Linked DNA regions of Mus musculus: all the other regions are reported to be linked to region 2. Evidence: microRNA targets listed by miRTarBase, many of them from high-throughput screens and not tested one by one. Region 2 holds a microRNA gene; each other region holds the end of a gene's coding sequence.

Evidence for each region. Region 2 holds the annotated microRNA mmu-miR-1894-3p (GCAAGGGAGAGGGUGAAGGGAG, at 1,695-1,716, shown strand). A microRNA usually pairs through its seed, bases 2 to 8, with sites in the 3' UTR of a target mRNA and lowers its output. Matches are read on the target gene's strand: a 7mer-m8 pairs with bases 2 to 8, a 7mer-A1 pairs with bases 2 to 7 and ends in A, and an 8mer does both.
Region 1: miRTarBase lists Nrp2 as a target of mmu-miR-1894-3p. Seed matches in the 3' UTR shown: 7mer-m8 at 1,648-1,654 and 7mer-A1 at 2,823-2,829.
Region 3: miRTarBase lists Mtus1 as a target of mmu-miR-1894-3p. Seed matches in the 3' UTR shown: 8mer at 3,057-3,064.

Annotation. Positions count from the first base shown.
Region 1 is chr1:62,814,855-62,819,032 of GRCm38, forward strand. It overlaps Nrp2 (neuropilin 2), which reads left to right. Exons shown (of 17, transcript NM_001077404.1): 17 at 479-3,838. The coding sequence ends at 783. Among named protein-coding and RNA genes, the nearest start is that of Gm35120, 20 kb to the right of the region's middle.
Region 2 is chr17:35,916,244-35,920,421 of GRCm38, forward strand. It overlaps Mir1894 (microRNA 1894), which reads left to right and starts at 1,646; the gene lies at 1,646-1,726. It overlaps Mrps18b (mitochondrial ribosomal protein S18B), which reads right to left and starts at 197. Exons shown (of 7, transcript NM_025878.2): 1 at 49-197. The coding sequence starts at 120. It overlaps Ppp1r10 (protein phosphatase 1, regulatory subunit 10), which reads left to right and starts at 953. Exons shown (of 19, transcript NM_001163818.1): 1 at 953-1,473.
Region 3 is chr8:40,989,476-40,993,653 of GRCm38, forward strand. Mtus1 (mitochondrial tumor suppressor 1) reads right to left here. Exons shown (of 14, transcript NM_001005863.2): 14 at 1,437-4,158. The coding sequence ends at 3,945. Pdgfrl (platelet-derived growth factor receptor-like) reads left to right here. Exons shown (of 6, transcript NM_026840.3): 6 at 840-1,307. The coding sequence ends at 1,028. Among named protein-coding and RNA genes, the nearest start is that of B430010I23Rik, 26 kb to the right of the region's middle.

The DNA.
Region 1 (4,178 bases), not on the chromosome of region 2:
CAAGGCCAGCCTGGGATACTCTTTATAAATAAAGTGATATAATATATGTTATATATAATATATTATATATAACATATATAATATATGTAATATATTATATATATATATATATATATATATATATATATATATATATATAGAGAGAGAGAGAGAGAGAGAGAGAGAGAGAGAGAGAGCCAGAGCCAGAGCCAGAGCCACAGAGAGAGCAATTATTCTGTGCCAGGATGCAAGCACTTGACAATTATTAATTCACTTAAGCCTCCTAATAACCCAGGGAGGCCATTTTATTGCCATCTTCACTTTACAATGAAAAACTGGAGTCAGAGAAGGGCTTAGGTTACATGCTTCAAATGGCACAGCTAGGATATAGCAAGGTTCCCAAGTGCCTGCTGTTTACTGCTAAGCCCTAAAGTGACTTGGGTCTGGGGAGCCTCGGGTTTGTCTCCATGCCTACACTCTTGTGTATTTTGTGTCGTAGATGAATATGAAGGAGATTGGAGCAACTCTTCTTCCTCTACCTCAGGGGCTGGTGACCCCTCATCTGGCAAAGAAAAGAGCTGGCTGTACACCCTAGATCCCATTCTGATCACCATCATCGCCATGAGCTCGCTGGGGGTCCTGCTGGGGGCCACCTGTGCGGGCCTCCTCCTTTACTGCACCTGCTCCTATTCGGGTCTGAGTTCGAGGAGCTGCACCACACTGGAGAACTACAACTTTGAGCTCTACGATGGCCTCAAGCACAAGGTCAAGATCAATCATCAGAAGTGCTGCTCGGAGGCATGACCGATTGTGTCTGGATCGCTTCTGGCGTTTCATTCCAGTGAGAGGGGCTAGCGAAGATTACAGTTTTGTTTTGTTTTGTTTTGTTTTCCCTTTGGAAACTGAATGCCATAATCTGGATCAAAGTGTTCCAGAATACTGAAGGTATGGACAGGACAGACAGGCCAGTCTAGGGAGAAAGGGAGATGCAGCTGTGAAGGGGATCGTTGCCCACCAGGACTGTGGTGGCCAAGTGAATGCAGGAACCGGGCCCGTGTTCTCTGCAGGGACACAGACAGGAGCGCATCTCTTCGGAGTCACAGTTCTGTTTCCTTTGTGGGTTTGTTATGATTATGATTGCTATTGTTATATTTTATTTTATTTTTGTCTGTGAGCAACTCAAAGAGGCAGAAGAGGATGGCTTATCCGGGGCAGAAAGTGGAGAGGTCAGTCCTGTTCTCCACATCTCTTTCTAGTCAACACTTGAAAAGCAAAGGGGCTTTTCAGCCCTTCCATCCTGAGAAATGGAACCTAAGAAACAAAAGCCACCCAGCTTAGCTCACCCTCAGATGGTCTCCCAACTCAAGAGACTTGCTGGGGTGTGTTCGGGTTCTGCCAGCCAACCCTAGGAGCTGCCGTTTCCGGTCCTAGCATATTGAAGTAGGATGTTATTGCCTTTAGCTTTTTTTAATCCAGGGGAAGATTGCCATTTTAGGGTCAGCTTGAACAATTCTTTCTTATATAAGATTTAAAGTAAAACATAACAGAAACTTCATACACCAGAACCCATAGACACACCTCTATGGTTAGACACAGACAAGCCTTAAAATGCTTTGATGACTGGGTGCCATTCCTTAATCTAGACCCAGAGTTTGTGGCTGTGGGATGTCCCTTGTAGGGTCTCAGCTGGTGGCTTTGCCTTTTCTTTTCCCTCCTATTTGTTCTTCTACAGCGTATACATATATTCACATGCACACAGCATGCTCATATGCAGCTCATGTGCACACACACACACACATACTTGGGGGGGGGGGAGGAAGTGGGAGATTTTGCAGTCTCTATTCTTTAGTCTCAGAGCAGAGAGAAAGAATAACAAAGGAAGAGAGAGAAACGCAGCCTGTATTGGGAAGAATGACCAGTGTGGACAGAGACATTTTGTTGAATGAGTCTCCTTGATAGGTTAAGAACATTGATTTCTTGTGGGAGGCTACATCCTTATAGGGATATAAGTGCAAAGACATGCACTTCTACCTACAAGTCAGCAAGTTCTATGGATGGAGAAGCTTACACACAGCTTCAACCTCAGGAGACCTGAGTTCTTATTCATACACATATGTGCCATGTACGTACACACACACACACACACACACACACACACACACACACACACACAGCAGTTCATGTGTTTTTTATTAAGTGCCTTGAAAAACAATGAAGAAAAATGTCCTTTCCTCTAGGTAGAAATCACCACTGTCTCACAAGTTAAGGCTCCTCCTGCTTCTCCTGCCCCAGTGACTCCATTCCCAGCCCCCCTACCCACGGCTGAGCCACAGTGGACTGAGTCTGGCTACCCGGGGAAAAAAATCAGAGCCCTAGATGACTCCAGAAAGGGAGGCATCAGGAAGATAATGAAATTGTGTGAAGGATAAGATTGTCCTCATCAAGATCCAAATCTTGACTTTCTGTTAATGCCTAAAGATTGTCTGTGCCCTAGAAATACAGTCTAAGCCCCACCAGTATGTCCAGACTGTTGCATATCAGTGGTAAACTGTCTGACCGTTTTTTTTGCTGCTGTGATCACCCACAATTTCATTTGTCTTGCACCCAGGCAAAAGGGGGAGGGTGGACGGGACTGGCTGTGGTCCCTTTAAATGTTAACTTATGAAAACCCTAGTTCAGATGGTAATGTCGCAGTGTTTTGTATGAAGAGGGGGAACAGTCATGCCGACATCTATTTATTCCCGCGTGTGTGTGTGTGTGTGTGTGTGTGTGTGTGTGTGTGTGTGTGTGTGTGTGTGTTTGTGTGTGTGTGTGTGTGTGTGTGTGTGTGTGTGTGTGTCGCACCCTTGAGTTCTCTGTATCTACTGTGTATGTGAGTGGTAACGTGGGACTCAGTGCTGGTGTTGTGATTTTTGACCTAGAGCCTGGGTGTTACTGCTGATCTTGGCACTCGTTGGCACAGTGGTAGAGGTGAAAAGTTCATTTGTCTAGCCCAGGGGGGCATAGCGTTAGGAGCCCTCTGAGCTGGGCGTGCAGTAGAAGAAAGTTGGTATTTAGCTCACCCTCTTCTTCACCCTCCCATGCAGCTAGGATTCAGAAAGCTGGGGGTTTCTAAGGAGGAGAGAAGTGCCCACTCCGGGGGTCCTGCCCTCACATGCCCAGTGGACCATTTACCATAATCCACCCCCCCCCAAGACCAGCCCTGTCTAAAGTTATGTGCAACTCAACCTGCATTCCTCTACAAGTCCTGCATCCACTTCACTTTGGCTGATTTGAGGCTCTGGGTGAGTCCTGAGGGCCGAAAAGAAGCAGGGTCCCCGGGGCTACATGTAGATACCTCACCAAGGCTGGAGGCTGGTCTGTTGTAAGATGTAAAGAAAGACAGCTGAGTCTGATTCTAACTTAGCCAGAGGACACCTTGACGAATCTGTTATCTCTATCTGCAGGTAAGCTAGCCAGCCTGTCTCCTTGAATTGTTCCCTTTGGGAAATCTAATTCACAGTATTGATCTCCTTTTTTGCCTTGTACTGAATGACACATTACCTCCACGCTCTCCCGGACTAACTGGTCCACAGGGCCACAGGGTTGCTTGCTCTCTCTTGCAGGAATGGGGAGTCGACAGGGATGAGGGTCCAAGGAATGAGCATGAATGACAAGAAAACAAGGGGAACATTAAGCTTTTCCAGGGTGTGCGGTTAAAGGTATTTGACCATTCACTGGCTGAGCCAGATCACGGGAACTCGAGAGCTTTTACTGTGATTCTTCAATGTAAAAAATAAAACAATGTCAGACTGTGTTTATATGATTTGTATAAAGCCTTTTTAAGATTACTATTTAAATAAACATTATACCAGAACTATTTTTCCTACATTGTCTTTCTTGAGAACAAAGAGAGCCGGGACCTGAGTGACCAGATTGCCCCATGTGCTGGAGACTTTTCTGGGTTTTACCACTCAGAGTTTTGTGTCCTGGAAAATGCTCCAAGTTAGTCATCTTGGACAGCTATAACAGATACCGTATGTCAGGTGACTTAGACTCAACCATTTGATGCTTAGTGCTGGAGACTGAGATCAAGTTCAAGCAACTACTAGCACATTTAGAGTCTTTCTAATTTGTAGACATCTACCTTCCCTTCATGAACCATATGGCTTTTCCTTCCTGAGTTTCTTTGTCTGTTTCTTCTTCCAAGAGTATTAACC
Region 2 (4,178 bases):
AAGTATAGACACCACGGGGAGGTAGAGAAAACCCCTCCAACGTTTTACCTGAGCTACATAGGAACTTCGTAAGAGTGTAGGAACCAGCTTTAGAAGCGTGTGCCGCAAGGGGGCAGCCATCTTGACGCACACCGGACGTACGGCCTGCCGGAAGAGCGACTGCGCATGCTCGGGACACGCACTAGGGTGGGCCAAGGACACGCCCCGCAATGCGGAAGGCGGCTGCTCACATGTCTAAGGGCGGAAGCGTCAAGGGGCGGGGTCCACAGACGCGAATTTAAACTGCGTCACAATCGAACCAGCCTTCAAAATTGCATTTCTCCCGGACCAGTCACGATGAATCCTAGATTCCATGGTTAGTGTCTAACATGAAAGCAGATTTGATTGCGATTTTAACCAGGGTGCTCCCAGTGCGCATGCGTCGGGCCGTTTCGGCCAACCGAGGGCGACCCCGGGTCGCCGGAGCGGAAGTGGTGGAGGCAGAGGAAAGGGAGGTGCCGGACGCGGCGATCACGCGCTGGCGTAGAGGTGATAGCAAGGAGACGGAAGAGGGGAACCGAGGGAAGGGGGCTTCGGGAAGGTGGAGGAGGGACGTCCAATCCGCGGGCGACCCGGCTCGCACGCTGGCCAATCAGAGTTCGCCTCGCGCACAATGTGTCCCGGCGAGGGCGGTTCTCCATCACGTTAGGGTGCGTTGGGCGGTGGCCGGGTATAAAAGACTCCGCCCGAGCGGGCGGCCGCCATTCTGGGGTTCGTTTAGAGGTAAGTTTGGGTGCTCCGTCGCTTTGGAGGGTAACGTTTTGCCGAGAGCGGGCCGGGGGAACGGGGTGGTTTCGGATTTAATGGGCAGCCACGTTTTTCCCTAATGCGGCTGCGTCCTGCGACAACTTTGAAACGTTTAAAGGCGACCCGTACTGATTACACCTTCCTCCTTTTGTGTTCCTTTTACCCCAGGTTGAATTTTCTCGGAGAAAGACAGGCCGGCCATCAGGAAAACAAACAAGCCTCAGCAACATCTAAACCCTTGAAAGGATCCTGAGAGGGGGGAAAGGGAAATCAGCCACCAGCCCAACCACTCGTGTCTTCTGCCCCTCCCCACCTATCTTGCCCACCCCACCAGCCCACGCTGCTTGGGACTTGAGATCTGTGGCCGAAGGACCGTCACCACATAACTTCAAAAATAATCAACCACCTTCCCTGCCCAAACCTACCCAATCTCACTCATCCAGCATTTCCGTTTTGGAATCCACTCAGACTTTTTTTTTCAACGACCCCCTCTCCCTAAATGGAGTTGGGCGGGGGGGAAATGAAAACTGAGTTGGTCTTTACTTTTTTTAAAAGAGACTTTTTGATCCAATGAGGCCCCACAAGTAACTGAGTTTGGGTCCTGGTTGGTTGCTTTATTTTTTTTCCTCCAAAATTTTACCCCTCCCCCCTGAGCCCGAGGTGCTGACGTCGCAAAAAAATTGGATAGTAAGTGTCGAATTTTCAAAAACCAGCCTTGAACAAGAAATCAACGTTTCCCGTTGTGAAACCAAAAATAATGAGAGGAAGAAATGAGACCATAGAACAAATGTAGAGTACTGGAGAGAAGGACCAATCGGGTCTCTTAAATCTCCATTAAAGGTCCTGTGGGTCTAAACAGTCTTTGTTCTCTCTCCCCTACCACCTGCCTCTTCCCTGCTGTGGAGCAGGCAAGGGAGAGGGTGAAGGGAGGGCCAGCCAGTGAGGATTTTGACGGTTAACCCTTGATAATCCAGCAGATTTCCAGACTGCCAGAGCATAAGCCTTTGCGATAATAAGGAGGAATGGTTACCTTCCTCTGGTTAGCAGTCTTCAAAAGGGTTAATGAGCTCACATACAAAAGATGGTGGATCTTGTGGCCCAGAAGTCCCACTTCTTTGTGTGTGAGACAAGCAGAACGCCTTTCAATTTGCCAGATTAATAAGCAATCTGTACATAAAGATTGCAGGGTAAGGAGATGGGCAGAGAAATATTAGCTGGCTATGTCTTTAAAGTGACTGTTAAATCCTCTCTATTTTAATGTAATTTGCTTGGGATATATTGTGTGGTTAAAATAGGTGGCAATCTAGGAATAAAGATTGCAAGACACTTAAATTTAGGGCAAAAATCATAGTAACAAGTACATACAATAACATTTGGGGAGGTAAAGAATGTCTTGTGATTGTTTCAGCTTGCATAGGTTATTTAAAGGCAAAAGTGATTAACATTTTAACTTGATACTTTTTTAGTGGGTGGTGGATACAGCTAAGAGGGTGGAAAGGTTGGGAAATGTGGAACTCAGGAGTATAATTTTAAAAGCCATTAGTGCATTTGAATGCTATCTTTCTAGAAGATTGTGTCGTTAAAAGATTTTTTTTTTCCTCCCTGCTTCAAATATGGCGACTTTTCCTTGCTTGTCCTTTTGTCTTGCAAGCGGCGTTGCAGGTTGTGTCTTGACCCATTTTTCTCCTGTCCTCCCCCCTCGGTCCTATTTGTTGAGGGGTCCAAGTCCTACCACTTGGCTTTTGTAGGGAGGATTGGGATGGTCGGCGGTAGTAAGTTGAATTTTAGTTGCAAATTCAGATTCTTATCCCGCAGAAAATTGTATATTAATTGATTTTATTTTCAGTAATAGGCTCTTAAACTGATTTAAGATAGGTCAAGTTGAGGGTGGTGGTCAGAGGGATGGCTTCTGTTTGTTTTTTGTTTTTGTTTTTTTAACTTAGTGCCTTACAGTGTTAAGTAAAGCTACCGGCAGATCTGCCCGGCCTTTTAAATTTTGAATCTTCTCCATAACAAAATGGCGTCCCTCTCCTTTGTTTTTCTCCTTTGCCAGTCAGCTTAGGGCTTCCCTAGACGCTTGGTCAAGGGGGTGGAGCCACCGTGAAAGGTGATGTAATCAGCTTGCTTCCTCTGAAGACTCCGCCCCCAAGCAGCTGTCTTCTCTCCCTTTGCAGATTGCTGTTGGGGAGAATACGTTTTGGGTTTTTTTTTTTTTTTTTTTTTTTCTTGTTTCTTTTATCTTATATGATAAATCTTCCAGGGATAAAAGCTTAATGAGCACTAGGGATGGAGGCTGTCCAGGTCCTTGTGTATGTAGCTCTAGGTTTTGTGTTAAAAGTCAGCCCATTGCCTTGGTTTCACCTTCCACTCATCACAACTGCTTGGACCTATTCCGTGCTTCAGTGGACAGGGGTGGAAAAAAGCTCAACCCCGACTGCTTTAGAGAGACTTGGGCAAGACGCAGGGCCTGAGGGAACTGCAGTGTGCCATGCTGTTCAGGAAGGGTCCTTACACTACCTGGGTATTGGTTGCTTTGTAACAGTCTGGGGAAAGGGTGGGTACTGGTAGGACTTTCTTGTAAACCATCCTTATTCTCACCTCTCAGTTTGGGGATAAACTCTTTGTGCTCAGTGCCATCACCTGCAGTTGCTTAGTTCCTGTATGTTGGCACTAGGATGAGAAGTGAATCTTTAGGAAAGGAGGCTGCAGTTTAAACTCGAGGCAGGGGGAGTCAAGCTACGGTTTCTGGTAAGCAAAACATTTCTGGTATTACATTTCACAACCTTTCTTTTTCCCAAAGAGCCACCTTTTCGAATTTCTTTTTTCCTTCCTTCCTAAAAAGAAATTCTGTTAAAGCATCGAGGAAAGGAATGTCCTCTTTTCCTCCCTGCTGAGTGCTGGGGCTGCCGTGCATGTTGCGAGCCACGCCCTCCAGGGCAGTATTGGGTGTCTGGTTCTTTATCTCTTTCCCCAGCTTTTTCAAAGTCAAGTCTTTGACAGTTTCTTCATATACTTTTCATTTTTTATTTTAAGTCCTGGGTGGAGTTTCTAGACAGAGTTTATAAGCCTTTTGTCCTGCTGTCCTACCGTGACTTGGGTACAGCAGGGCTCATTTTCTGCTGGGTGTGGATTCTCATTATTGCTTGGACTTCTGATTGAATGGGAGGGCCTCTTCCACATGTCTATTTACCACACGTCTTTTTTATCTTTTAAGCAGTTTGCCAGGTGCCTCTGCAGTGCACCTACCTTGGGATCTGAATAGTCCACCACTGGGTCCTGATGTCTAGTGAGCAGGGATTAGTAAAAAGGCCTTAGGTGGGAGGTGAAAAATGCAAGGCTCTCTATTTCTAGGGAACCTTGGAGAACCTGAGTCTTACAGTGGCCAGAATTCT
Region 3 (4,178 bases), not on the chromosome of region 2:
TCACTGAAATAAACAGCTCTGCTACCAACTTGGTTGCCAGAGGAGACACTCCCAAGACACTCTAGGTAGCCTGTGCTCTGCTTAGCCTGTGAGGGGTGGAAAATAAGGATCCCAGGAGGGCAGAGCTTTCCAGCATCTAGATGTTAGGTTGGTTGTTTTAAATACATTGTTCTACTTAGACATTCTTGCTTTTCCATAGAGTGACCCTTTATATTGCTGTTATTAGGAGAAAAAGCATTAAGTGATACTATAATCACCCTTATCAATTGAATTTAGAAAACACTGTTCTCGTTGCTGCAACTGCCTGAAATAGATCTTACAAGTCACCGTCCTCTAGAATAGATGCTCATGCTGCCTAGGGCATTATCTTAGCCTTCCTTGGTACAACTGGCCTCCCTCTGTAGTCTCAAGGAACATTAGCCTAATTGCTTTCCTGCCTCTTCTTCACTTACAGAGTCAGTGCTTTTGACCTTAAGTTCCATAAACAAGAACCACTTGGCAGTGTGAGGGTGACACAATGGGAAAAGATGCTGCTCATATAGATATGTTTATGCTGGTCCCCCATAGAGGCCCAAAATAATTCATTTTACATATAAAAAAAGCAAAAAGAAATCACAAAAACAGCATCCTGAAATTCAAGACCCCACTTGGGGGAGGAGTGGAGGAAGGGAAAGGCAGCCTTGAGTAATTATGCAATCAAAAACAAAAACCCTCCGCTTGTGAGCTCAGCATACCAACCAGCCTTCTGTGAGCTTGTACTGAATGGGCCTGGTGGATGGGAACTGAGTGAGGGAAGCAGCTGTCAATGTGACTTTAGTCTGTGTGCCATCTTTAACCAGGACGAAAGGCCTGTGACCATCCAGGACACCTGGAGACTGATTCACAGAGGACTGGGACACACCACAAGAATCTCCCAGAGTGTCATTATCGTGGAAGACTTTGAGACCATTGATGCGGGCTACTACATATGCACAGCTCAGAATCTCCGAGGACAGACCACAGTAGCGACCACTGTTGAGTTTTCCTGATTTGGAAAGTGAAGAGTAGTGGACCAATGGGATGCCCATCTGCACACACAGCTTCCAGGTGCTTTATAGGAGGCCAAGGACCAACCCCTGCCAGTGGGTCAGACAGACATCCGAATTAAAAGGAAGTCACTAGTCTATTAATAGAAGTATAAACTTTCCTAACTAAAGTATGTATTTTGACTCAGCCATGTTTCTACTTTTTATACTGAGAAAACATGTCAACAACTTTGTATCAATCGTTTCTATTAAATGAGCAAGATTTTATAAAAAAAAAAAAAAGTGAGCTAAGTACTTGTGTCATTTAGCATGTACATCCAGAAGGGCTTGACAGTGATCTTTGTGTTGCTTAGTATTCTGTTTGATGTTTGAGCCAAGTTCAACGGCTTACTCAAAAGCAAGGACTCAAGATTCAAATGCTTAGATATGTCACTTTATCAAAGCTAGCACAAGTTCATTTATAAAGGTATCAAAATCACATCTTTTTACATTGAAATCGCCACACTCAGAGTACTGATTTAAACCCCTCTATTCAAAAATAACTGCATGTACACTATTAACACCTTAGCCTTTAATATAACATAGATGAATGGACTGAAGAAGATTCAGCTTTGGCTAAGACCGGTCTTGAAAAAACACTTAAGACCACAGCTGTTCCAATTTTCTTTTCGCCTTGCAGAAGAATCATTCAAACTAGCCAAAGTTTCGTTCTCTGACACATGTATTTTGAATTTGAAAAGCTTAATCTTAAACTCAAGCTCTGTGAGCCAATTTCAGCCACAACAAATTTTGGCATTGGGTTCTAAGTTCTGTATAATAGCATAGGGCGCCTGGCTGCCTTAACTAAGGAGGGATGAGAAGGGGGAGCATATAACTTAACGCTTTGAAGAGTAAGTATGTCAGAGGCTGCCATTCTTACATTGAATATTCCAGCATTATTTATTTGATCAAAGTAAAATACACTTTCCCATTGCTATAAACTACAGTTGTTCACACACCCACATTTTTTTTAAACGATGTGTCAACAATTTTGTATTGTACATAAAATGTTTGGTTTAAAAAACAAAACAAAAAAACCCTTAAATGCTCTCTAGGCATTTTAATTGCTGTAAGATTTGACTTCCCAGACATCTACGTGGTATGAGGGATGGCAGGTCAACACTTGAGCTTTACCATAACTAGGGCATAAATGACAAACCTGACTTTGGCTAACATCATTGAGAACAACTTGGGACCAGGAGCAGAGCTATTCCAGGAGGTGGCAGTGAAGCTGCAATCATTCCTATTTATCGGGAGCAAACATGGTAGGTTACATACATCATAAACTATTGGAGATAAGAGACTTCAAACACAACCCCTAATAAAAAGCATGCATCATGACTATCAGTTAGCTCTGTAGTGCAGAAGTCTAGGATGACTCACCTCTAGTATCCTGAATCTGTCCTCGCTATAGGGGTTATCTGAGCAGCATTGACCATGAATTAGTAAATACTGACATCGCAATGCCGGCATGCACAGGGAAGTTTGTGGGTTGGGTGGTGGGGAGCCACAGCTATCCTTCTAACTTTCACAGAGCCTTGGAGCCTAGGGAGATGGTAAGCGAAGATCTGAATTTTGAATGCAGTGTGAAGGAGCTGCAGAAGCCATACCTCTCACTCTTTGGCCACTCTGTTCCATTCCAGTGGCTGGAAGAATGCTCAGAGGGGCCCAAGTCAGCATTCCCGCTCTTGGATCTACTCAACACAGAACTGTTGGCTTAACTCTGTGCTCATGTGGATTAGTACATGCTAAAATGCCTTTACTGGTTTCCCCCCCGGGGTTTCTAAAATTGTGTAGTGTCAGAACCAGAGCTTAGCTTATTTGGGAAACAGGTTCAGCACCTCCAAGATAAACTGGCCCTGGAAAAGCACACTCTGTGGGTAGGAAGGAGGGCGCTTTGCTTCCGTGGCTCTACATGGAGGAGAAGGCAAGGCGGAGGTTAGAACAACAGGAGGGTAGACGGAGGATTAGCGCTATGAAGCTAGCTTGGGTTCAAGGGAAAAAAATAAACCAGAAACATCCATTGGTACTGCCCCCTTACTCTTTATACAGATTTGTATTTAGAAAAATTAGGGAACTACATTTGCTCATAGCCTGAGAAAATGAATCAGAGTATAGCAATTAGGCTCGTGAAAATCTACAGGGGGAAAAAAAAACTGCTATCAACGGATAATGCCGAACATGGAAAAACTAACAACAGAGAAATAAATGTACAGTCATCAAGAAACCAAAGGCTTTTCCTGTCTTGCCCGAGCCCTGCCGTGGCACAGTGCTGAGATGAGTTGGGGGGAAATTCAAGCACTATTGCTTTCTCTTCTATGGCTTTTGTTGACGCTCGTGTGCCGATTATGACTTGGTTAATACAGGCCAAGCTATATACAGCTGTTGACTTTTAATACACAGCAGGGGGCGGGGCTATGACAGTCACGTGACACGCCAGTACACCCATTTCACTCACACACACACCCCCCTTGCCCACAGTCAGACTGAAATAAAAATCACAAGAAGGTGTCTCTGGTGAAGAACATTATAAAGGTTATAAATCTTTATCTTAATAGGGCCCTGAGAGTTTTCCCCTATGCTTAGGTGAAGGAAGGCAAAGAACAAGGTTCCCTCGTTCCGTAAGTGCTTTGTGCAACTATGTCCACTTCAGTTCCGAAATCTGTTTTTGGAGGAGGCTTTTGGACCAAGTTAAAAGTCTCCTATTGGAGCTCTCTATTCGTACGTAGCTGAAACGGTTGGCGGCTGCTCTCCCGATATCCTGGGGATATTCCAGAGAGCTAACGCAGCAACTCGAGTTCCCATGAACTCTGAACTTCGGGTCAGTCCCGCAGAAGCGCACCTCAGTGCCTTCAGAGAGTCTCCTGCGTTCAGAAGCCGTCATCTGGGTGAGATGCTGGGGCTGGAGAAGGAACCAGAATTCCTGGGGGACTGGAAAGGGATGGCCGAGGAGGTGGGGGATCTCTTGGGGCTGCACAGGTCTCCGTTGTGCAGTTTCCACAGAAGTTCCTCGTTCTCCATGGACAGTCTCTTGTTGACCTTCGACTCCTTCTCAAGGGACTCCTGCAGCGCGGCCTGCTCGGTGGAAAGTTGCCTGGAAAACAAAACCCAGAG